Arabidopsis thaliana: one gene and its partners. The protein of the gene in region 1 purifies or fractionates together with the protein of each later gene. This does not show direct contact. Each region holds a gene or a part of one and is shown in the gene's direction. Other genes may lie near its edges.

The links. Proteins that work in one complex are often made in the same cells at the same time.
Region 2: the proteins of AT2G17630 (region 1) and EMB3127 fractionate together in Arabidopsis thaliana (co-fractionation; one large-scale study listed by BioGRID). This does not show direct contact.
Region 3: the proteins of AT2G17630 (region 1) and CSY1 fractionate together in Arabidopsis thaliana (co-fractionation; one large-scale study listed by BioGRID). This does not show direct contact.

The regions. Positions count from the first base shown.
Region 1 is NC_003071.7:7,663,283-7,670,504, forward strand, and holds AT2G17630 (Pyridoxal phosphate (PLP)-dependent transferases superfamily protein), read left to right. Parts: upstream 1-3,265; 5' UTR 3,266-3,354; coding exon 3,355-4,623; 3' UTR 4,624-4,783; downstream 4,784-7,222. Other genes in the region: CYCB2;1 (Cyclin B2;1), read left to right, coding at 882-942, 1,050-1,185, 1,274-1,339, 1,418-1,574, 1,661-1,789, 1,876-1,965, 2,040-2,261, 2,358-2,456 and 2 more; ATSERAT3;1 (Trimeric LpxA-like enzymes superfamily protein), read right to left, coding at 4,956-5,011, 5,115-5,174, 5,263-5,336, 5,422-5,588, 5,688-5,782, 5,922-5,946, 6,035-6,130, 6,216-6,275 and 2 more. UniProt on the Arabidopsis thaliana protein: Involved in the plastidial phosphorylated pathway of serine biosynthesis (PPSB). Catalyzes the reversible conversion of 3-phosphohydroxypyruvate to phosphoserine.
Region 2 is NC_003075.7:256,462-264,603, reverse strand, and holds EMB3127 (Amino acid dehydrogenase family protein), read left to right. Parts: upstream 1-3,314; 5' UTR 3,315-3,815; coding exon 3,816-3,996; intron 3,997-4,148; coding exon 4,149-4,474; intron 4,475-4,551; coding exon 4,552-4,788; intron 4,789-4,890; coding exon 4,891-5,058; intron 5,059-5,168; coding exon 5,169-5,339; 3' UTR 5,340-5,617; downstream 5,618-8,142. Other genes in the region: KEA2 (K+ efflux antiporter 2), read left to right, coding at 119-208, 385-522, 619-747, 970-1,179, 1,463-1,612, 1,775-1,828, 1,964-2,022, 2,113-2,179 and 4 more; AT4G00610 (DNA-binding storekeeper protein-related transcriptional regulator), read left to right, coding at 6,661-7,647; AT4G00600 (Amino acid dehydrogenase family protein), read left to right, coding at 7,994-8,142. UniProt on the Arabidopsis thaliana protein: Catalyzes the oxidation of 5,10-methylenetetrahydrofolate to 5,10-methenyltetrahydrofolate and then the hydrolysis of 5,10-methenyltetrahydrofolate to 10-formyltetrahydrofolate.
Region 3 is NC_003074.8:21,718,248-21,727,089, reverse strand, and holds CSY1 (citrate synthase 1), read left to right. Parts: upstream 1-3,299; 5' UTR 3,300-3,363; coding exon 3,364-3,600; intron 3,601-3,722; coding exon 3,723-3,903; intron 3,904-4,065; coding exon 4,066-4,151; intron 4,152-4,225; coding exon 4,226-4,330; intron 4,331-4,404; coding exon 4,405-4,467; intron 4,468-4,541; coding exon 4,542-4,651; intron 4,652-4,737; coding exon 4,738-4,857; intron 4,858-4,941; coding exon 4,942-5,091; intron 5,092-5,166; coding exon 5,167-5,287; intron 5,288-5,387; coding exon 5,388-5,485; intron 5,486-5,598; coding exon 5,599-5,710; intron 5,711-5,964; coding exon 5,965-6,024; 3' UTR 6,025-6,317; downstream 6,318-8,842. Other genes in the region: CSY2 (citrate synthase 2), read left to right, coding at 9-189, 335-420, 709-813, 905-967, 1,057-1,166, 1,325-1,444, 1,523-1,672, 1,764-1,884 and 3 more; AT3G58730 (vacuolar ATP synthase subunit D (VATD) / V-ATPase D subunit / vacuolar proton pump D subunit (VATPD)), read left to right, coding at 7,810-8,595.

The DNA.
Region 1 (7,222 bases):
ATAGACACATGATTTTGTGCATGTATCAACAACGACATATACTTTTAAGTGCTTTATTCATAATTGATCCGTAAATTAATTGTTACATAATCTTTCGAAAACTTCCATAACTTTTTTAGAACATTTTTTTTATCTGTCAAAGCTAGAAACATTAATGTGTTCAAACCATTATTGATATTCTTCATTGCCAATAGCCAATTTATGTTTATATTTAAATTCTAAATCCTGAAATGTAAGCTCTAATTCTAAATTCCAAATAAACACTCTGACAGGCCAGCAAAATTCCAAATACTTTAGTAAATATCCACCTACAAAATAAATTTCAAATCGGAAACAATAACTCCCACGGGCCAGCATAATTCTCAGTACAGAATCTTGTCTGTCTCATATTGAAACTTTCTCTTAAGAATAAGATAGACTAAAAAGCATGACTAGCTCTGTAAATGTGATTAATTAATAACCTAAGATTGTTGATTAAGATAAAACATAAAGTTTTAATCAAAAAGTTTGTTAGAGGCGCGCCTATGGAGCGTACAATTGTGTCTTAAAAAAAAAGGTTAAGCCACCAAAATAACAAAAAAGAATAATAATTTTTTTGAAATACGACGAAAGCCACATGCCTTGAACCAAAGTTACCGTTGTCTGAATATGAACCAAACTTAGAAGTAAATCGTTCCCTCATGATCCAACGGTTATATTCTAAATTCTAATCCTAGCCGTTCCTTTTTTAAAATTAAAAACTCAACACTTTTTTTTATTTTGTTTGTATCTTCCTCTTTTGCTTATTTCATCCCCTTCTTCAGATTCTCTTCGTTTAATGCTCTTCTTCTTCTACTCTCTTTGTGGGTTTCTCTTGTAATAATCACAAACCAAAAAAAAAAATGGTTAACTCATGCGAGAACAAAATCTTCGTTAAACCCACTTCAACGACGATTCTTCAAGGTAGTAGATGAATTTGTCGAGTAATATACGAGAATTTCGAGGTGTTTTACAGTTTGCGTAGGAGAATTCTGACAGAATGTGTTGTGTTCTTTTCTGGTTTTGTTTAGATGAAACAAGAAGTAGAAAATTCGGACAAGAGATGAAGAGGGAGAAGAGAAGAGTGTTGCGTGTGATTAACCAGAATCTCGCTGGTGCAAGAGTTTATCCTTGTGTTGTCAACAAGAGAGGAAGCTTATTGTCTAAGTAAATTTAACAAAATCTCTAATCTCTCACAAGTTAGTGTTTTTTTTCAATCTGATTGTGCTTATGGGTTTTGATTGATTTGAATCAGTAAGCAAGAAGAAGAAGAAGGATGTCAAAAGAAGAAGTTTGATTCTTTGCGTCCTTCAGTTACAAGGTACATAAAGCTTGAATCTTTCATTTCGTTTTTTGACTTTAAAGAAAGAAAGATCTGAGTTTGTTTTTGAATCTGCAGATCTGGAGTTGAGGAAGAGACTAACAAGAAGCTGAAGCCCTCAGTTCCAAGTGCTAACGACTTCGGTGATTGTATATTTATTGATGAGGAGGAAGCTACATTGGACCTTCCAATGCCAATGTCGCTTGAGAAACCATACATTGAAGCTGATCCAATGGTAACAACAACAAAACAGAATTCAGAATTTTGTTGATGGATTTAATTCATAAATCAATGATTTACAAGAAAATTTTGATTGGATAGGAAGAAGTTGAGATGGAGGATGTAACAGTGGAAGAACCGATCGTGGATATCGATGTCTTAGACTCGAAGAACTCGCTTGCGGCTGTTGAATATGTTCAAGATCTTTACGCATTTTACAGAACAATGGAGGTAAATTATGGTTTAGTTTTATCTGTTTTTGAAGTAATAAGTGGCTTGAGAGCTTCTTTAAGACAGTTCTTGATTTGAATTTGCAGAGATTTAGTTGTGTTCCAGTAGACTATATGATGCAACAAATCGACTTAAACGAGAAGATGAGAGCAATACTAATCGACTGGTTAATCGAGGTATATTATCAACAACATTCCACATTGTACTGTGTAGTTTGATAGAGGCTAAAGATGCTTGAGTACGTTTTCAGGTACATGACAAGTTTGATCTGATAAACGAGACACTGTTTCTGACAGTGAATCTGATAGATAGATTCTTGTCCAAGCAAAATGTTATGAGAAAGAAGCTTCAGCTTGTAGGGTTAGTAGCTTTGCTGTTAGCTTGTAAGTATGAGGAGGTTTCGGTTCCTGTTGTCGAAGATTTAGTACTCATTTCGGACAAAGCGTATACGAGGAACGATGTTCTAGAGATGGTAAAGGCCTGGCTTCTTTACTTAATAGAAAAAGTAATCTTGTCTCATATATGTTAAAGACATTCTTTGATTAAATGATTTCTTTCTTCTTTACAGGAGAAAACAATGTTGAGTACTTTGCAATTCAATATCTCGTTACCGACACAATACCCGTTCTTGAAAAGATTCCTCAAGGCAGCTCAAGCAGACAAGAAGGTTAGTTAAAAATAATGGACTTATGAATCAGTTTAACTAGAAGTTTGAATTTTAGAAAGGAACTAACTGTGAAACTGAAAACAAAACAGTGTGAGGTCTTGGCGTCGTTCTTGATCGAGCTTGCCCTTGTGGAGTACGAGATGCTTCGGTTTCCACCATCATTACTAGCTGCCACATCTGTGTACACTGCTCAATGTACACTTGATGGTTCCAGGAAATGGAACAGTACATGTGAATTCCATTGTCATTACTCTGAAGACCAGCTCATGTAAGTCTCTCTCTTTTTACCAAGAATGGTCCTTTAAGTCCATAAACAAAACTATTTGCAGGAAAAAAGACTGATCTTTTTAATTGTAATCGCGGGTTTCGCAGGGAATGTTCACGGAAGCTGGTGAGTCTGCATCAGAGGGCGGCGACAGGAAACTTAACAGGAGTATATAGGAAGTACAGCACAAGCAAATTTGGTTACATAGCAAAATGTGAAGCTGCACACTTTCTAGTGTCTGAGTCTCATCATTCTTAATCCAAAAGGACAGTAGTAAGTAGTTTGTACAGCTTCCTGACATAGTTCCCTCATTCACTCTGTAGCACAAATAAGAAGAAACAAAAAAAAAAGCCAATTAAATTTGTCTTATGATTGATTCTGTTTTTTTGTTGTTACTCTTTGTTCACTTCACTTGTCAGTATTAAACTCTACAATGAATGATAAATGATTGAATCATTTCATTCTTTGTTCAGAATGAAATGTATTTTGTATCTTATTTGAGCTAAATACAAAAACAACGTCGTTTTCGTTGTTTTCACTTTGACTTCTCTTTAGATCTCTCTCCCACCAACTCCTTCTTCACACTTCACTAAACTTCAGATACTTTTTGTTTTTTCCTCAAGATCAACGATAATGGCGGCGTCAACGAACTCATTCCTCATCGGAAACCAAACCCAAATCCCTTCTTTGAAACCCAAATCAATATCCCAATCCTTTATCCACTTCACTAAACCCAACACCATCAACCTCACCACCCGAACCAAATCCGTTTCAATCCGATGCGCTTCCGCTTCAACCACCGTCGGATCCGAGCAGCGAGTCATCAATTTCGCCGCAGGTCCAGCCGCATTACCGGAAAACGTCCTCCTCAAAGCTCAATCAGATCTCTATAACTGGCGTGGATCTGGTATGAGTGTTATGGAGATGAGTCATCGCGGTAAAGAGTTTCTCTCAATCATTCAAAAAGCTGAATCTGATCTCCGTCAGCTTCTCGAGATTCCATCGGAATATTCCGTTTTGTTCTTACAAGGTGGTGCCACTACTCAATTCGCTGCTTTACCTCTCAATCTCTGTAAATCTGATGATTCCGTTGATTACATTGTTACTGGATCTTGGGGAGATAAAGCTTTTAAGGAAGCTAAGAAATATTGTAACCCTAAAGTGATTTGGTCTGGTAAATCTGAGAAATATACTAAAGTTCCAACCTTTGATGGATTGGAGCAGAGTTCGGACGCCAAGTATTTGCATATATGCGCCAATGAGACTATTCATGGTGTTGAATTTAAAGATTATCCTCTTGTTGAAAACCCTGATGGTGTTCTTATTGCTGATATGTCTTCGAATTTCTGTTCTAAGCCGGTGGATGTATCGAAGTTCGGTGTGATTTACGCTGGTGCTCAGAAGAATGTTGGTCCTTCTGGTGTCACCATTGTGATCATTCGAAAGGATTTGATTGGGAATGCTAGAGATATAACTCCGGTGATGCTTGATTACAAGATTCATGATGAGAACAGCTCGTTGTATAACACGCCACCGTGTTTCGGGATTTATATGTGTGGTCTTGTGTTTGATGATTTGTTGGAGCAAGGTGGTTTGAAGGAAGTGGAGAAGAAGAACCAGAGGAAAGCTGAGTTGTTGTACAATGCGATTGATGAGAGTAGAGGGTTTTTCAGGTGTCCTGTTGAGAAGTCTGTGAGGTCTTTGATGAATGTTCCTTTTACGTTGGAGAAATCGGAGTTGGAAGCTGAGTTTATTAAAGAAGCTGCTAAGGAGAAGATGGTGCAGCTTAAGGGACATAGATCAGTGGGAGGTATGAGAGCTTCTATTTACAATGCGATGCCATTGGCTGGTGTCGAAAAGCTTGTTGCTTTCATGAAAGATTTTCAGGCAAGGCATGCTTGATTCTTTTTTGTTTTCTAGTCATCTTGTTGTTTATTATGTAAGCTTTGATGCTTATGATTTTGAGTTTTCGTTCCTTCTTCCGGTACTTGAATTGCGATTGTCTGCGGAATTTTTTCAGTAATAATAATTTGAGATAATAGATTTCATTTTCAAGCAAGAATCATTTACACTTTTATGTTTGTCTGAGACTTTTGAGTTGAGACTGAAAACTTCCAGTGAACAAAATCTTTTATTAGACAACTTATTGAGGAAATGCTGAGATTAGCTTATGATGATAAGCAAGAGCATACAAGAATTAGCTTATGATGGTAAGAAATTTGCATACAAAGATCTCATGATGTGCTGTTAGTGTGTCCTTTCTCTGTATCTCCTGCTGAAAGTGATGGTCCTGTTTTCAAGACACGTAAATAGGTAATTCAGATTCAGATCTTTCAGTAAAACTGTAATTTCAGATTCTTCATAGCAGAGTTCATTGTGAGTGTGCAAGTTACCGTTAGATTGTGCCCCTTTGTAACCATCAGCTACATGTCGAAAGAACTCTTTAGTAGCATCTGCATATTCGTTCAAGAACAGTCACTACTAAATCCCGAGCGAGACATATACACAGAGCCAGAAGTATATAAGAATCTGCAAACTCACCGTGTTTCATTGCTAGAGACGGGTCTTGCTCTTCCATGACCCTGATCAGTTTTGCAGGATTTCCAGCCACCACACTTCGAAAATACAAAGAGGGTTTGTTAACTAAACAAAACAGTGCCAGGTCATGAAGATTTGTCAGATGAATTTTCTCTTTTATACCTATGCGAAGGAACGTCTTTTAACACAAGTGAACCTGCAGCTACCATTGCTCCAGCACCTATGCTTATGTTACCAAGTATAGTCACACAAGCTCCAAGCAATGCACCTTCACCTATCTTTGGGTGGCGATCGCCAGTTTCCTTTCCGGTTCCTCCTAAAGTCACACCCTGTGACAGTGAAAACTCAAGTAGCCTTGAAAAACTGAAAGGAAAATCATGATCTCGGTATTGAATTTACAGGCAATGGTTTGGAGAAGAGACGCTTACATGTAAGATCGAGACACCGTTGCCTATCACAGCGGTCTCACCAATGACCACTCCAGTTCCATGATCCAACAATATTCCCTCCCCAATTCTTGCCGCTATGCAGAAAGAGAATTCAAGTAATATGTATAACCAGCAATCAATTCACCGGTAAACCTGATCAACTATTACAACAGAGAAGGGAAACTGAGAATGTTCAAACAGATGAGAGCAGAGATATGAAGCTCAAAACTCTACCTGGATGTATGTCAATGCCAAAAACCTGAGAGAAACCACAGCATAGATCAGACATTGAGCTCAAAAATGCAGCTCCAGCAAGACTCAACCAAAAGACAATGATCACCAACTACCTCGCTTATTCGGCTTTGCAATGCAAGAGCTAATAGTTTCCTCCCTTCATTCCACAGTTTATGCGCAACCCTATATGCTTGTAACGCATGATAACCCTGAAATGCAAGTGGGAAAACTCTTCATAAGTCACTCATTCCATGTGAGAAATGTTCTGTCTCTCAACTTCGAGTAAAGAATTACCTTCAGATGTAAAATAGCAGAACTATACGACAGACAAGCAGGATCACGATCTTTAAATGCCTGCAAATCATTGAGATACATAAGAAAACAACAAAGATCATGTCTTTTTACAGTATTAGGTGGAATGTTTTACCTGGAGATCATGGCGAATCGAACTCTGAATACCTTTGTCATGCATCATAACACCATAAAATATATCCAAGAGTTGTGTTGCCAACAAGGTTGGGTTTTGGAGACGGTTGGCTAGAACAAACCCTAAAGCTTGCTCTAAACAATCATGTGCTAAGATACCAGCATACAAGAAGCTACTCAAAATAGGCTCTTTCTCTGCCTGAAACGCACAACAAGATTCACCATTATAAGATTCAACATTTCACAAACTGTACTCAAACTTTCTTGTCCTATGTTTGGTTGGATTAAATATCAAGGCTTTCAAAGAGAGAAACAAGACTGACTAATTCTAAACCCTAATGGATACTACTATAACAACTGTGGATTAACATGGAGACGCAAAACCATGACATTTACTTTATCTGAACAAGAATAAGAATCGATGAAGCAGAGAAAGTGTTAGAATTTGAGGGAAACCTCAAGTTTAGCTTCTTCTCTTATAGCATCCCAAATAGGATCAGAACGAGGATCAAGCAAATTCGAGTCAAACTCTGACTTATGAGTTCCCTTAGCGTAAACCTCGAAACCACTCTCGAAAGGAAGCTCATCGCCATTCATATCTCTCCAAGGAGACGATAAAGAAGAATCACAAACTCTTTTTGATTGGACAAAAGAGAGAGAGACGGAGAAAGCAAAAAGGAGGCTACTTTAATGGATATGATGAGAAACTTTGAGAAACCCCTTTTTAATCTATTTTGTTTTCTTAGTGGATTCTCTCGATGGTCGCTGTTGTTGTTTGGTTTCTCGTTGATCTTGTGTTTGTGTTGTGTTCCAGTGTCCACCGCTTTGAATGGTTCTACTTCTACTAATTTCATATCATTTCATTTGTATATATT
Region 2 (8,142 bases), on another chromosome or scaffold:
TTTAAGGAAATACTCATGCTCATGTGTTGCTAATATTTGCTGTCTTGCATATTTCTCAAGGAAGCCTATAAATTATTTTGTAAGAGGAGAATGCTAAGTTGCTAACTACTTTTCTCAGATTGGATTTCAAGCCATTGCTGAAGCTCTTGGACTAGCTGCAATCAAAGCAGCAGTTGCTATCACTGGCATAATTGCTGGTGGCCGTCTCGTAAGTCTCAATGGTTTTCTAGTTTCTGTTTTGAGACTCATATCCGAATAAGTTAAACAACAAAAGAGAGATCCATATAAGTGATGAGAAAACATTAGATTTTCTATAGAATGGGTTTGCATGAACATATAATGAAACTCTATAGCTAATGCTGCTTCTGCGGTGCTGAATCATAGTTTTACAATGCATTGATTTTCTGGTACACACAGCTTCTGCGGCCGATATACAAGCAAATTGCAGAAAACCGAAATGCTGAGATATTCTCCGCCAATACACTTCTGGTTATTCTTGGGACTAGTTTACTTACAGCTAGGGTATGTTCTTGATTTTCCGTGTTGGTGCTTGGTATTCTCGTAATTTTGCTTTGTCTTTTGTTTCGTTAAGATAAATTGTTTCTTTCTTTAAATTAGGCGGGACTTTCCATGGCATTAGGAGCGTTTTTGGCTGGTCTACTACTTGCAGAGACTGAATTTTCCTTGCAAGTTGAATCAGATATCGCTCCATACCGTGGTCTTCTGTTGGGACTCTTCTTCATGACGGTAATTTGTGAACTAGGTCTTGAAAATAGCTGATCGATAAGTTTACTGTTTTCCTTGGAGATGGTCAGAAGTTATTATAAATAGGATATTAAGGAATATATAGGATATGTAATGTGTTATGGCCTGCTTAAATGCTCTTGTAAGATTCTAATTTTGTTTCCAGCTCTTAAAGTACAATTTATCTCGTTCATGAAACTAATGGGACGAGCTGCATAAAATCAGGTGGGCATGTCCATTGATCCAAAACTTCTTCTCGCCAACTTCCCTCTCATAATGGGGACCTTAGGACTCTTATTAGTTGGCAAGACTATATTAGTGGTGATCATAGGCAAATTGTTTGGCATTTCAATCATATCTGCCGTGAGGGTCGGTCTTCTTCTGGCTCCAGGTGGAGAATTCGCGTTTGTTGCTTTTGGAGAAGCTGTCAATCAGGTTATTATATATATGATGATTTCTGTTTTTTGCTTTTTTACGATGGGTTTAGTAACTGCAGTGTTTCTTGGAGAGTATATGGGTTGTTTTTGATGCTTCCCATCTATTATTTTTTGGAAAGTTAGGCTCACATCATGATGCAAGCAGTTCTATTAGTTTACAATTAGTCATTTAAATGAAAACTAGAAAACGATATTGTCATGTTTTATGGATATGACAGCTGAGGTTTCAGTTCTACTTTATTCCCATGTTTCCTCTAAGGCTTGATTGGTATTTCTTCCAGGGTATAATGACTCCGCAGCTATCTTCATTACTGTTTCTCGTCGTGGGAATATCAATGGCTCTTACTCCTTGGTTAGCTGCTGGCGGCCAATTAATTGCGTCTCGATTTGAGTTACAAGATGTTCGAAGTTTATTACCAGTTGAAAGCGAGGTACTCCTTCACAACACTTTAAAATAAGTCATTTATCACCATTCCTAGTTTCAATTGTAAATTTAAAACAATAAAGCCATGATTGACCTCAATATCCTTCCGAAGCTCATGCATTCTTGGGGTAAAAATGACTGATCCTTTACTTTCTGAATTTACTTGCAGACGGATGATTTACAGGGTCACATCATTATTTGCGGATTTGGACGAATTGGGCAGGTTGGTATCGTTATCTATAAACTTTGTTGCGAAAACAAACTCCTCTAGAAGTTTAGATAGTTTGATTTAGAGAATAGTTTGGTGATATATGATTAAATTCGTCTTTGACCGCTGCTTTCTAAATGTTAAACGCAGATAATCGCTCAGCTTCTTTCTGAAAGACTTATCCCATTTGTTGCCCTCGATGTCAGCAGGTAATGTAACATGCTTGCCTTGTCTTGCTCAATGTATCTAACCAGCTCTTTATTTGTCTCATTTCGCACCAAAAATCTCTTATTTTACAGTGATAGAGTAGCAATTGGTCGTTCCCTAGATCTTCCAGTTTATTTTGGAGACGCTGGTAGTAGAGAGGTAAGAGTAGAAAGCTGATGAAACAAGTCAAAAGTATAACCACACATCATCCAAAATTATTGACGTTGTTTTACCTATACGTGCAGGTACTCCACAAAATCGGGGCAGATAGAGCATGTGCTGCGGCTATTGCTTTAGACACACCTGGAGCAAATTACAGGTGTGTCTGGGCTCTTAGCAAATATTTCCCCAATGTCAAAACCTTTGTCCGTGCACATGACGTTGATCATGGTCTCAATCTTGAAAAAGCCGGCGCTACCGCTGTAATAACTTCCACAACTTTTCTATTCTCCTTCTGTCATTGCACAACATTTTCAAAGTAAACTGATTAAAATCTCGATACAAAAACTCGTTAGGTTGTTCCTGAGACGCTGGAACCAAGTCTTCAGTTAGCAGCTGCTGTTCTTGCACAGGTACAAGAGATAATTCTTGTAGTCATTAAGTCACCAACAATGTTATTTGGGGTATTTGTTAAACTTGTCGGCTTCTTTTTCAGGCCAAATTACCTACATCAGAAATAGCAACAACGATCAACGAGTTCAGATCTCGTCACTTGTCTGAACTAGCTGAGGTATATATTTGGTCTATTTAAAAAACTACAATTCTTCTTACTCTCCGGTTTAATGGATCCTATGATGGTACAGCTATGTGAGGCAAGTGGAAGCTCTCTAGGTTACGGGTTCTCAAGAAGTACGAGCAAACCAAAACCACCATCACCATCTGAAACATCTGACGATAACCAGATTATTGAAGGCACACTCGCTATCTAACCTTTTTTCTCGCTTCTGGTAAGACCACACAATTTCAACTTCTTTTGCTTAAAACTGTACAGAAACCAAAATCCTTATTTTGAAGAATCTTAGCGGAGAAAAAGTAACAAACTCTCAAAATTTTGATGGGATGATGATGTGTTGAAATTTCTCTAGTTTCTTTCCTCTGGGGGAAAAACAAAGGCAAATAATATTTGTATTCAACATATTGGGTCTAATATGTGAATCTATCCCTCATTTATCCGACACTATTTGTCTGTACTTTCTACCTTTGCTTCACCCTTCAACAATCTTGGCAATCGCAATAACATGACTTGCTCTGATACCACTTGTAGTACATTTAGCTTTGATTGTTGGAGCTCTCGAGTTAAATCACAAGGGTATATATATCTAGTGTGGTACTTTAGACCGCAAATAGAGAATAGACCGTAAGTCAACGAACTTACATGTATTGTTTATATATTGATCAGTGTTAATTACATGATTAATCTGAGTTTAAGACGACTAATCAAATTAAAAAGCTACTAAAAATATGAAGCGGTCCGATTGGATTTATTAAAAAAGAAAAGAAAACGAAAGACTGGTATAATAAAACCGGAAAATTCAGGTGAAATCAACAAACCGGTTTCTTTTGTGATTTGAATGAACTTAAACCCTTGTTGATATCAAAAGAAGAAACCCTAGTCTCTCCGACTCTCCGTAGACGACGAAGTTATCTTCTTCAATTCATCGTCTCTTCTCTGCTCTGCTTTGCTCTAGATCACAAATTAAAAGACTTCATTAGTCTTCCTGTCTCCACCATTACCTTCTTCCTTTTTAACTCAGCCACGACGAGCAGACTATTGTTCTGTTTTCCTTGTATAAAAATGGCGTCGATGATGTTTACCGATTGCTCCTCCACCACGACGTCGCGTCTCATCCATTTGAACCGAAGCAGCGGTACTTTCCTCCTCCGTCAATGCGTCGGCCAACTCCGTTTACAGACCACTGCTTCTGGCCGTGGCTGCTGCATTCGCTCCTCTTCTTCTCCCATTTCTTCCATTTCCGGTAATGATTAAACCTTTTGACTTAATTGAGCACCAAATTTGAACTTGACATCGATTGAAATTTGTAGACAATTAGACTGTTCTTCCCTGGAAAATTGAGTTTCTTTATTCTCATGTTGGAATCATAAATTTTTTTTTTTTTTTTTGGTACAGCTGATACAAAATCAGAGGGTGGCGCAATTGTAATAGATGGAAAGGCTGTGGCAAAAAAGATTAGAGATGAAATCACAATTGAAGTTTCAAGAATGAAGGAATCAATTGGTGTGATTCCTGGTTTAGCAGTAATCCTTGTTGGTGACAGAAAAGATTCTGCAACTTATGTGAGGAACAAGAAGAAAGCTTGTGACTCCGTTGGAATCAAATCGTTCGAAGTTCGTCTAGCTGAAGATTCATCAGAAGAAGAGGTGTTGAAATCTGTATCAGGATTCAATGATGATCCTTCTGTCCATGGAATCCTTGTTCAGTTGCCTCTGCCATCGGTAAACAAAGTCTAATAACTTTCTTCGGAACTTAAATAAACAGTGAATTACAATAGTGTTTTGGGATGTTGTTGCAGCATATGGATGAACAGAACATACTGAATGCGGTTAGTATAGAGAAAGATGTTGACGGATTTCATCCGCTAAATATTGGACGGCTTGCCATGCGTGGAAGAGAACCCTTATTCGTTCCTTGTACTCCAAAAGGATGCATTGAGTTGTTGCATAGATACAACATTGAAATCAAAGGAAAGAGAGCGGTTGTTATCGGAAGGAGTAACATTGTCGGTATGCCAGCTGCTCTTTTACTGCAGGTAATGATGATGATACCTTCTTTAAGATGCCGTTTTTTCTGGTTGTGACATTCGAAAGTTAGTTACATGTTTGGTCTTTATTGTTGTGTTTTGTATTTGTAGAGGGAGGATGCAACCGTTAGCATTATCCATTCAAGAACCAAGAACCCTGAAGAAATCACAAGAGAAGCTGATATTATAATCTCAGCTGTTGGACAGCCAAACATGGTCAGAGGAAGCTGGATAAAACCGGGCGCAGTCCTCATCGATGTTGGGATTAATCCTGTTGAGGTGAGTGGAATTTTCTTTTTGACATATGGTCATGGCGTAATTCAGTGATATAATAAGTTTCAAATCAACCAGTATGCAACATTCATACATGTACATAATATGAATTGCAGGATCCAAGTGCTGCGCGTGGATATCGATTGGTTGGAGACATTTGCTACGAGGAGGCTAGCAAAGTTGCATCAGCCATCACACCTGTTCCTGGCGGTGTAGGACCAATGACCATAGCCATGCTTCTATCCAACACTTTAACATCAGCTAAGAGGATTCACAACTTCCAGTGACGTCACTTAAAAAGAAGATTGCTGGCCTTTTGGGAAACAAACAAATCGTACTCTGTTTTTTGAAGCCAATGATTTACTTTGGTCTTTAAAGAAAGTTATCGTTTTGTTCTATGAAACAAAACATGTAGTTTTTAAGTCACATAAATTGTCTTCAACATTGTTTGTCTCTTCTTGGTATTTTGAGTCAGAACTAGTTTTAACTTATCCCAGCTATGATATATCCCAGCCTCACCCATCGGTCTCTTCGTCATTATACTTTATTTATAACTACCTTTCAACGAAGGTTAATTTGAAACAAGAAAACACAGTCACTTGTTCTACATTACTTTTGTTAAACCCTAACTTGAGCTCGAAGCCACGACCACTGTTCTGTTTTCCTAGTAAAATAATGGCGTCGTTGATGTTAACCGATTGCTCCTTCTCCACGACCTCGCGTCTCATCGATTTGAACCGCCTCAACGGTGCTTTCCTGCCCCGCTGGTGCGTCAGCCAACTCAAGCTTTCCCACCACTGCGCCCGGACGTGGCCGCATGCGCTCCTCTTATACCACTGTGCCCGGACGTGGCCACATTCTCTCCATTCGCTCCTCTTGTATAGACTAAACCTTTTCATCCAATTGCTTACGTATTTTCAGATATCCAACTCTTAAGATTTTACTTTTCTGTTCAGCTGATGAGGCGATGGTATTTGATCAAACGGCTGTGGAACTAAGTATCATGCAGGAGATCAGAGTCGAAACTTCAAGAATGGAGAAACTAATCAGTCCTGGTTTAGCAGTAATCCTTTTTGGGGACAGAGAGTTCTCTGAAGAATATAAAGAAATTTAAACTCTAGCATCTTTGCTCCAAAAACAAACTCTATAGAGTTTAAATTTCTTTCTTCTTTTTTACAAAAGAGGGATTATAGTATTATACACCATAAACCCCGTAAAATTAAAAGAAGGTATTCAGTTACCAAAATCGGATTTAGTAGCATTTAGTTTTTTTGAATTTTAAATGTACACCATAAACCCCGTAAAATTAGTCAAAACAATTAATGTGATTTATGATAATTGTAATTAAATAAAAAAGATATTACTCGATTAGTAATTACTGATTAACTGAATCATTGATCTCATTAAACAATTAAAGAAAGATTACTCGATTAGTTAGCATTTAGTTTTAATTTTTTTAATATACTAAAAATACCAATCGGAAATTCAGTTACCAAAATTAGATTTATTAACATTTACTTTTTGAATTTTAGATGTACACCATAAACCCCGTAAAATTGGTCAAAGATTTATGATACTTGTAATTAAGGAAAGAACCAAATGCAATATATGGTTTCGGTGCAAAACCTTAAAACTGACCAACTTCTCAATTTTTTATTTAAAAACCCTACCAAATTTCTCTCTCGTTTCTCTCCGATGGCCAAGAACAAGACTTTGGTTACTCCATCAACGGTGAAGAAGTCATCTGACGTCGCATCTACGTCAAAGAAACTGTCGGGAGTCGCATCTCCAGCGAAGAAACCGTCGGGTGTCACATCTCCGGTCAAGAAGCCGTTGGAAGCCGTCGCATCAACTTCATCTGAGGAGGAGGAGGAAGATGAGCCTTCCAGCGATTCAGAGTCGGGATCGGAGAGTGAGTCTGACACTGAAGCTGAGCCGATGACTCTTGCTGCTGCTGCTCCTTCTTCTTCGAATGAGAAGAGACAAAGTGAAGGAAAACCAGAGGAGGAACGAGCCAAGACTGAAACAGAGACGGGGAAGAAGCCACTGTTGTTTCAGAGATTGTGGACTGATGAAGACGAGATCGTCTTTCTTCAAGGAATGATCAAATTTGCTAAGGATACAGGTAAGAATGTTTCCGAGGACATGAATGGCTTTTTCGAAAAACTTAAAGATTCGATTAGCTTTGAGGTGAAGACTGATCAGTTCGTTAACAAAATCCGGTCTATGAAGAGAAAGTATATTGAGAACAAGAAAACTACTACAGAGCATGATAAGAAGTGTTACGAATTGGCTGAGATAATTTGGGTAAGTGATGGTGATGCTACTGCTCTTGTGAAGCCAAAGAAGAAGAAGCTTAAGGTTGATGAAGAAAGTGATTGGTTCGAGAGGTCGTTTGTTGATGGTGCGTTTAAAGAATTGGGTCCGGGGGTTGATGAAGAGACATGGAAGAAGAATTGGAGTTTGGTACCGGTGAAGAAGAGGAAGAGGATAGAAGAAAAGGTGAAGTCCATGCAAGCTGATGAGCTCAAAACGACGTGGCAGAAGATTGACGTTGTGCATGAGATGAGATCTTTGATGGCTAAATATGTTTAGTCTTTATCTGTTTAGAGATGCATTTGCCTATGTTTTTCTTTTTGGTTTTGTGTTGGAACCTTTATGGCTTTCTCGTTTATTCATATGTTTTATGTTAAAGATGTTTTTTTGGATAACAAAAATAGGTGGTTTTTTGTTTGCATCTTAGTCTTCTTCCTTTGTTACTACAGACATGAAATCGTTAGATAATTATGATATGATATAAACTAATAATGATTCTAGGAGATAATTCCTAATGGATTTAAGATAAGTACATATCTTCTATATCTACCTTTACACACACGTTAACTTAGAAACAATCTACTTTGTTTTCTTCTGTTTGCCTAGTAAACAAATGGCGTCGATGATGTTTACTGATTGCTCCTCCTCCACAACGTCGCGTCTCATCCATTTATACAACCGCAATGGTGTTTTCCTCCCCCGCCCGAGCGTCAGCCAATTCAGCTTACGGACAACTGCGTCTACTTGGCGCTGCACTCTCTCCATTCGCTCCTC
Region 3 (8,842 bases), on another chromosome or scaffold:
GTGTGCAGATAACGACGGGGAAGGATGATAAGGGGCTGAAGTTGTACGATCCTGGTTACTTGAACACGGCTCCGGTTCGATCTTCGATTTGTTACATCGACGGAGATGAAGGAATCTTACGTTATCGGGGATACCCAATTGAAGAGTTGGCTGAGAGCAGTACTTTTATTGAGGTTGCTTATCTCCTCAGTAAGTCTTTATCAATCTCGTTGCTTATTCTTGTTGTTGTTGTTGCTTATTTTACTTTTGTGGCGTCTACTTGTGGAAAAGAAAATGTCTTGAAAATTGTGTCTCTCTTAGTGTCGTGTTAAAATTCCCCTTTTTTTGTCTCCAGTGTATGGAAATCTGCCTTCTCAAAGTCAGCTAGCTGATTGGGAGTTCACTGTTTCTCAGCATTCAGCTGTGCCACAAGGAGTATTGGTGAAATTTCTACTCTTTCGTTATTTGGATTTTCATACTAGTGCAAATTCCAAACTTTGTATCAGAATGCAAATCCAAACCAAAGAGGGATTTTGAAAATGATTTCTTGTCAAGTGTACAAGTTGTTTGTCTTGCTTGTAAACCATGTCTATTAAGGATACTGGATCTCTTTCTAGTATTAGTACCTTATGTCTTACTCGCCGTTGTGAATATAGTTATGTGTATATGCTTAGTAAAAGAATTTTCTATGGATTTTTGATCTGAGACGATTTCTGAATGTTTTTGCAGGATATCATACAGTCCATGCCTCATGATGCACACCCAATGGGAGTTCTTGTGAGTGCCATGAGTGCACTTTCTATCTTTCACCCTGATGCAAATCCTGCTCTTAGTGTAAGTTTTGAAATCCTGTTCTTTTCGTACTGTCAAGATGCCTTTTTCTGAAAATGGCTATGCCAACTCGATTTTCTTTCATTGGGTGCAGGGCCAAGACATTTACAAGTCAAAACAAGTTCGTGATAAACAGATTGTTCGCATTCTCGGAAAGGTATTGTTCTATCTGTTGATGATTTGTTTCCTTAACGTATCTGTGTATAAGTTGCGGGACTAGAAAAAGGGTTTACAACGTGTTTGCAGGCACCAACAATTGCAGCAGCTGCTTATTTGAGGACGGCAGGCAGGCCTCCTGTTCTTCCTTCGGCCAACCTTTCTTATTCAGAGAATTTCCTCTATATGCTGGATTCAATGTACTTTCCCCTCTTTCTTCTGTCTTTATTTGATTTAACACTTGCATTTTAAAAGGGTAGTCAGAAAAACTGTGTTTCTTTAGTCAGTTTAAATCTGTTTCAAGCTTCAAACGTGTCTGTAACACAGGATACATTCTTTAATCTTCAATTGATTACAGGGGCAATAGGTCTTACAAGCCTAATCCTCGTTTGGCTCGAGTGCTGGACATCCTCTTCATACTGCATGCTGAACATGAAATGAACTGCTCTACTGCTGCTGCTCGGCATCTTGCCTCTAGGTACTTATCAGTTATCACTGATTAGAGATATTCATTTAGACTTCTTTGAGTGTTTAAATCAGTATTGTGTTTCTGCAGTGGTGTTGATGTGTACACCGCATGTGCTGGAGCTGTTGGGGCGCTTTATGGTCCACTTCATGGTGGCGCGAACGAGGCCGTGCTTAAGATGTTAGCAGAGATTGGGACTGCTGAAAATATTCCAGATTTCATTGAAGGCGTGAAGAACAGGTAACTCAATGCTTAATAACTACAAGCACCAAGTACTCTGAATTGTGGTGAGTCATGCCGGTAATGTTATATCCCTTTTCTATGTTCTCAGAAAGAGGAAGATGTCAGGTTTTGGACATCGTGTTTACAAAAACTATGACCCCCGAGCAAAAGTTATAAAAAAACTGGCAGATGAAGTGTTCTCCATTGTTGGTAGGGATCCTCTCATCGAGGTACTGTAGATCCTTGTGCTCACGTATCTCTCCTAGTATTTGGTTGTCAAAAAAATTCTTATATAACATGACTGTGGGTTAAATTTTGTTTTGACGGATGATGTTTTCAGGTAGCAGTTGCTCTAGAGAAGGCGGCACTGTCTGATGAATATTTTGTTAAGAGAAAGCTGTACCCAAATGTTGATTTCTACTCTGGATTAATCTATAGGTAAGACATTGCTGATTCATCTGACATAGACCCTGTAACCATTAAGTTCTTTACCTGAACCTTGTGTTGGTAATTGAAATGGGGGAAAAACACAGGGCAATGGGATTCCCACCAGAATTCTTCACAGTCCTGTTCGCAGTCCCGCGTATGGCTGGATACTTGTCACACTGGCGTGAGTCGTTAGATGATCCTGACACTAGGATCATGAGACCCCAACAGGTAAAATACATAACTTGTTTGATAGATCAAAAGGTTTATAGTTTGAGCTAACTGAATTGTGTGGCTGCATATAGGCCTATACTGGAGTGTGGATGAGGCATTACGAGCCAGTGAGAGAACGAACGTTATCAAGTGATTCGGATAAGGATAAGTTTGGTCAAGTTTCCATTTCGAATGCATCAAGAAGGCGTTTAGCTGGATCATCTGCCCTTTAGTCTCAATCCTAATACTCACCAATAAAGAAGAAAACATTGGGATACCTCTGGGAAAACAAGAGAGTCTTCTCAACAACATGTGTTGTTTTCTTTCTCTTATTCTTAAACACTTAATAATACAACCCTATTCTTATTGTTTGTCTGTTATTTTAAAATGTTATGATTTAATAATAATAATCTTGTTATAGGGAACGACATGTACTTTTGATAAATTGCGCTTTTATTCCTGTTAATGTTAATTTCTGAAGACATGTCTAACACATTGGTTTGGAAAATGTCAACCACCAAATCATATCATTTAGGATTAACTGAATGTTATTTTTAGGGTGAATATGTTATGCAGATTCCAAGTGATAACAATAAGCTAACCACTCATTGAACATCATATCATATTTTTTTGTACGGTATTTATAATTTGCCTGAAAGTTTCCTATCATTTTGCATTATTGCCAATAATATTTCCATTTCAAATGAGAACAATTGTGAGAAGTGTGAACAAATATAAAAGAAAAGTGACGTTAAATAACAAACCCTGGAGTACCTGACACTGATTAACAGAAAGAAGTAAGAAGCAACCAAAACAATACATAACTGTCGCAGAGACACATACTTAAAATTGGTTAAAAGCCACAAAACTCTGATTGAAGACAAAGAAGACACTGTAGATTCACGCCAATCATACCCACAAAAGTATTAAGACAAAAGTGTTACGTAATGAAATTATCAAATTTCCCCACTATAAAACCATGCATGCCTATATATCACTTTGAACTACAACAGCCACTTGGTTTCTTATTCGCTTCCCTTTCTTGAATTGTGATCTTTTTGAGGTGACAAATGGAGATTTCGGAGAGAGCTAGAGCTCGATTAGCCGTTCTCAATGCGCACTTGACAGTATCTGAGCCGAATCAGGTGTTGCCAGCGATCGAACCATGGTGCACATCGGCTCACATAACCGCTGCACCGCATGGATCGCTTAAAGGAAATTTGAAGATCGTCGATGAGCGTACGGGGAATGAATATCAGGTCCCAGTCTCAGAGCATGGTACCGTTAAAACCGTTGATCTCAAGAAGGTATATATAATGAGTTTTTATGCTGAAGTTATTTCTTCATTGTGGCCATTAGTACTACGAATAGATTGTTTTTTGTATATTGTGTGAGTGTGTATAAATGGATTTTCATGTTTGGTGTGAAGATAACGACAGGGAAGGATGACAAGGGGCTTAACTTATACGATCCTGGTTACTTAAACACGGCTCCTGTTCGATCTTCGATTTCTTACATCGATGGAGATGAGGGAATCCTACGTTATCGGGGATACCCAGTTGAGGAGTTGGCTGAGAAAAGTACTTATACAGAGGTTACTTATCTCCTAAGTAAGTCTTGATCATCTTGTATAGCTCATTGTTGTTGCTTAATTATGATCATCTTGATCATCTTGTATAGCTCATAGTCTTGCTTTTGTGTGGGTATTTCTTTAAAATTTTGTCTCCCTTAGTGCTCTAGTTTACTACTGCTTTTTTTGTTTTTGCATGCAGTTTATGGGAATCTGCCTTCTCAAAGACAGCTAGCTGATTGGGAGTTTGCGATTTCTCAGAATTCAGCTGTGCCACAAGGAGTATTGGTGAGTTTCTTCTACTCTTTCCTAACTTTCTCTAGATCTTCGAGGTGAGATGATTTATCTGAATGTTTTCACAGGATATGATACAGTCCATGCCTAATGATGTACATCCAGTAGGAGCTCTTGTCACTGCAATGAGTGCACTTTCCATCTTTTATCCTGATGCAAATCCGTCTCTTATGGTAAGTTACGTTTTTATAATCCTGCTTTCTTCTGAAAATTTCCACGCCGACATGGAAATCCCCATTTGGTGCAGGGCCTAGGTGTTTACAAGTCAAAACAAGTTCGTGATAAACAGATTGTTCGTGTTCTTGGACAGGTATTGTTCTGTCTGTGTGATTTGGTGCCTCAATGTATAACCGGACTATGAATTATAATATAACGTGTCTGCAGGCCCCAACAATTGCAGCAGCTGCTTATTTGAGGAAGGCAGGCAAGCCTCCTGTTCAACCTTTGAGCAACCTTTCTTATTCAGAGAATTTCCTCTATATGGTGGAATCAATGTACGTTATTGTCCCTCTTTGTTTGATTTGGAGATGGTAGCCATAAAACTGTGCACTTGTTTAGTCTCATCTTCCATTGATTACAGGGGAGATAGGTCTTACAAGCCTAATCCTCGTTTGGCTCGAGTGCTGGACATCCTCTTCATACTGCAAGCTGAACATGAAATGAACTGCTCTACTGCTGCTGCTAGGCACCTTTCCTCTAGGTACTACTTATCATTGGTTAGAGATTCATTTGAGTCTGCTATGAGATACTTTTTAATCAGCACATAAATCCTCTGTTTATGTAGTGGTGGTGATGTGTATACTGCTGTTTCGGGAGGTGTTGGAGCCATTTATGGTCCCCTTCATGGTGGTGCAGTTGAGGCTACGATTAACATGTTATCAGAGATTGGGACTGTTGAAAATATTCCAGAGTTCATTGAAAGCGTGAAGAATAAGTAACTCAATTCTTAGAGAGTATACCTAGAATGTGATGGTCAATATTCCATTAATGTTAACTCTTTTTATTCCAGGAAGAGGAGGTTGTCGGGTTTTGGACACCGCATTTACAAAAACTACGATCCCAGAGGAAAAGTCGTTAAGAAACTGGCGGATGAAGTGTTCTCCATTCTTGGAAGGGATCCTCTGGTTGAGGTACTCTGTATTCTTGTTGCTCACGTTTCCTTGTTGAATCCTTCATATGTATGATGAATTTGGTTTAAGAAAATATTTGGTGTATAAATAATGTTTTCAGGTAGGAGATGCTCTAGAGAAGGCGGCACTTTCTGATGAATATTTTGTTAAGAGAAAGCTGTACCCAAATGTTGATTTCTACTCTGGATTAATCAATAGGTAAGACATTGATTAGTTATCTAACAAATTCTGACTAATGAGTTGTTGTAACCATTGAGTTCTTTCTTTATTTGAATCTTTTTTGTTGGTAACTGAAATGGGCCAAAACACAGGGCAATGGGAATCCCATCATCATTCACCGCAGTATCACGTATCGCTGGATACTTGTCACACTGGCGTGAGTCTTTAGATGATCCTGACACAAAGATCATGAGACCCCAACAGGTAAAATACACCTTTAATATATAAGTGACTTTGTTTAGATAACATTGGCTCATGGCTAATAAAGACACTTTTTGATAGATCAATGAGTAATTAAGTTTTCTTTTTTGCTCATGAGATTATACATTATGCATAGATACATACACTCTTGGATATATTAATGACTTGAACCTTCTTCTTTTTTTGGCTCATGAGTAATACAATTTTTAATGGATATATGCAGTTTTTGAATAGATCAAAAGTTTTTTTTGGCACAGGTCTATACTGGAGCGGGGATAAGGCATTACGAGACAGTGAGAGAAAGAACCAAGCTGTGATTCGGATTTGGATCAGTTGGGTCAAGTTTCCATTTCGAATGCATCAAGAAGGCGTTAGCTGGGTCAAGTCTCGTTCCTATACTACTAATATGAAATTTGACTCGGAAAGCCAAGCGAATATACAAATATATATAAAGAATATATATGCTTATATAAAATATAGTTTGGGTAAACCCCATCCGACCTCGAGTTAGTAATACATGTGTGTGTGTCTATGTATGTATAAGTTGTCAAAATAAAATAAAAATATTTGTGTATTATAGCATGTTTTTAAGAATATGATGTTGAACAATAATCATAAAGTGATAAAAACAGTTCAAATCTAAATTAAATATAACCGAAACAGTAAGAAGATAGTAGACAACAAATCAAGATGAGATTGGTAATTGAACATATATGCAGCAATAATGACGAAAACCAAAAGGGTCTTCTCAACAATGTGTGTTGTTTTCTTTCTCCTTATAGTTAAAACACTCAATAATCTACATACTATTGAATTTGTTTTTCATTTGTTTGTCTGTTATTTTAAAATTTATGATTTAAAACATATCTTAAGTATAGTGGTTCTATAATCAATTCCATCTAATAATTAAGTTGGTATAGGAAATTAAGACATAACTTTTGATAGATATTGTGCCTTTTGTGAGGAAAGTTCTAAAAGAAGATCTTCTTATTCTTCTTTAGTTAATATAACACATTGCTTTAGTTCTAAGATTTTTTATATATCACACATTGATTCGGAATAATTAGTTAACCACCAAATCATATCCTTTTAAAAAAATGTCATACAATATAGTGTTGAATGAGAGATTATTTTCTCCTCAACCATTTGGAAACTCTATACAACAAGATTTCATCCCTGAAACTTGGAAATGAAAAAATGTATTTGGCCGAGTTTTGTTTTTGTCCTAAGCACTAAATAAGAACGTGAGATATATAGTTCACCGCGTCTAAAGACGAAAGTGATGGGTCTCAGATTTAGGACACGAAAGTAGGCCCCACCATACGTGATGAGCTGTATACGTATTTATTTTATTTGTAAAAAATAAGCCCTTTATATTTACGGTTAATTACACAATTAGCCCATTTCTTTCTTCTCCACGATCACAGCGACGAGGTCGAATACGATCTTCTTACCCCTGTCGACAGTTCTGAATTAATATCAATTTTCATTGTCTTCCTATCTCTCTTTCTCTCTTTGGCTTCTTCCAATCTAATTTCAGTGATTTACTTGTTAAGAATTCACCTTTTGAGAGGCCCAGGTATGTCAATCCCAAATCTCACTCTTTTCTTCTCTTAGTTTGGTTTGAAACAATTGAATCTGGTGGGAAATTTAGGCGTGTATCCATATAACCTGACTGCTCAATTCTGAGTCCAATTGATTAGGTGTGTTCTGTGATCTAGATTTCATCTTCTGGGAAACGATCTATCCTAAAGTCGTAGACTTTGATTCAATTAGAAAATTCGTAGACTTTGATTCAATCTGGGAACAAAAAATGGATAATCTGATGAATCTCTGTATGGATCGTTCGAGATAATGATTGGGTGCTTGGTTCATTAGCCTAAGATTTTCCTAGTGAAACTTAAGAATCTTTGCGTGTTTGTTCAATTATAATTAGTAAACCAGAATTTACGAGATTTCCATGTTGATCTCTTTCCTCAATGATGCAAGTATTGTTTCGCATCATCGAAAAATCATCTTCTGTTGTTGGCTTCTGTCAATAGAGTAAGTCTGTTTGTGTCCTTGTTTAATCCCATCTCTTTCATTTGCTGTAGTTTTGAAATATGGCTGGCCAAAACGCGCGTTTGAATGTGGTTCCCACTGTTACTATGCTCGGGGTTATGAAAGCTCGTCTTGTTGGCGCTACAAGAGGTCATGCTCTCCTCAAGAAAAAGAGTGATGCTTTAACTGTTCAGTTTAGGGCACTTCTCAAGAAAATCGTTACAGCTAAGGAGTCTATGGGAGATATGATGAAGACATCGTCTTTTGCTCTTACCGAAGTAAAGTATGTTGCTGGTGACAATGTCAAACATGTTGTCCTCGAGAACGTTAAAGAAGCTACTTTGAAGGTTCGTTCTCGGACAGAGAATATCGCTGGAGTGAAGCTGCCTAAGTTTGATCACTTCTCTGAAGGTGAGACCAAGAATGACTTGACCGGTTTAGCTAGAGGTGGTCAACAGGTCCGAGCTTGCCGTGTTGCTTATGTGAAAGCCATTGAAGTTCTAGTTGAGCTTGCTTCTCTCCAGACTTCTTTCTTGACCCTTGATGAAGCAATCAAGACGACTAACCGTAGGGTCAACGCTCTGGAGAATGTGGTGAAACCAAAGCTGGAGAATACAATCAGTTACATCAAGGGAGAGCTTGATGAGCTTGAGAGAGAGGATTTCTTCAGGTTGAAGAAGATTCAGGGATACAAGAGGAGGGAAGTCGAACGACAGGCAGCTAATGCTAAGGAGTTTGCTGAGGAAATGGTTCTTGAAGACATCTCTATGCAGAGAGGGATTTCGATAAACGCTGCTCGTAACTTCCTTGTTGGTGGTGCTGAGAAGGATTCAGACATTATTTTCTGAGGTGTGGGCTCTCTCTCTCTCTCTCTCTCTCTCTTTGTGCCTTCTGTGTTTGCTCGGTTTCTATTTTCGCCTTCGCGCTGTTATTACTCTCTTCATCAGACTTATGTTTCTTCAAATAAAATGGATTTGATGTAGATGAAATACTGTATCATCTTGGATTGTGCTTTGATATAAAATTTTTCGAGAGATTTGTGATTATTACTGTTTTGAGTAATTATAATTCCCCTGTTTCAAGACCAAACAAATG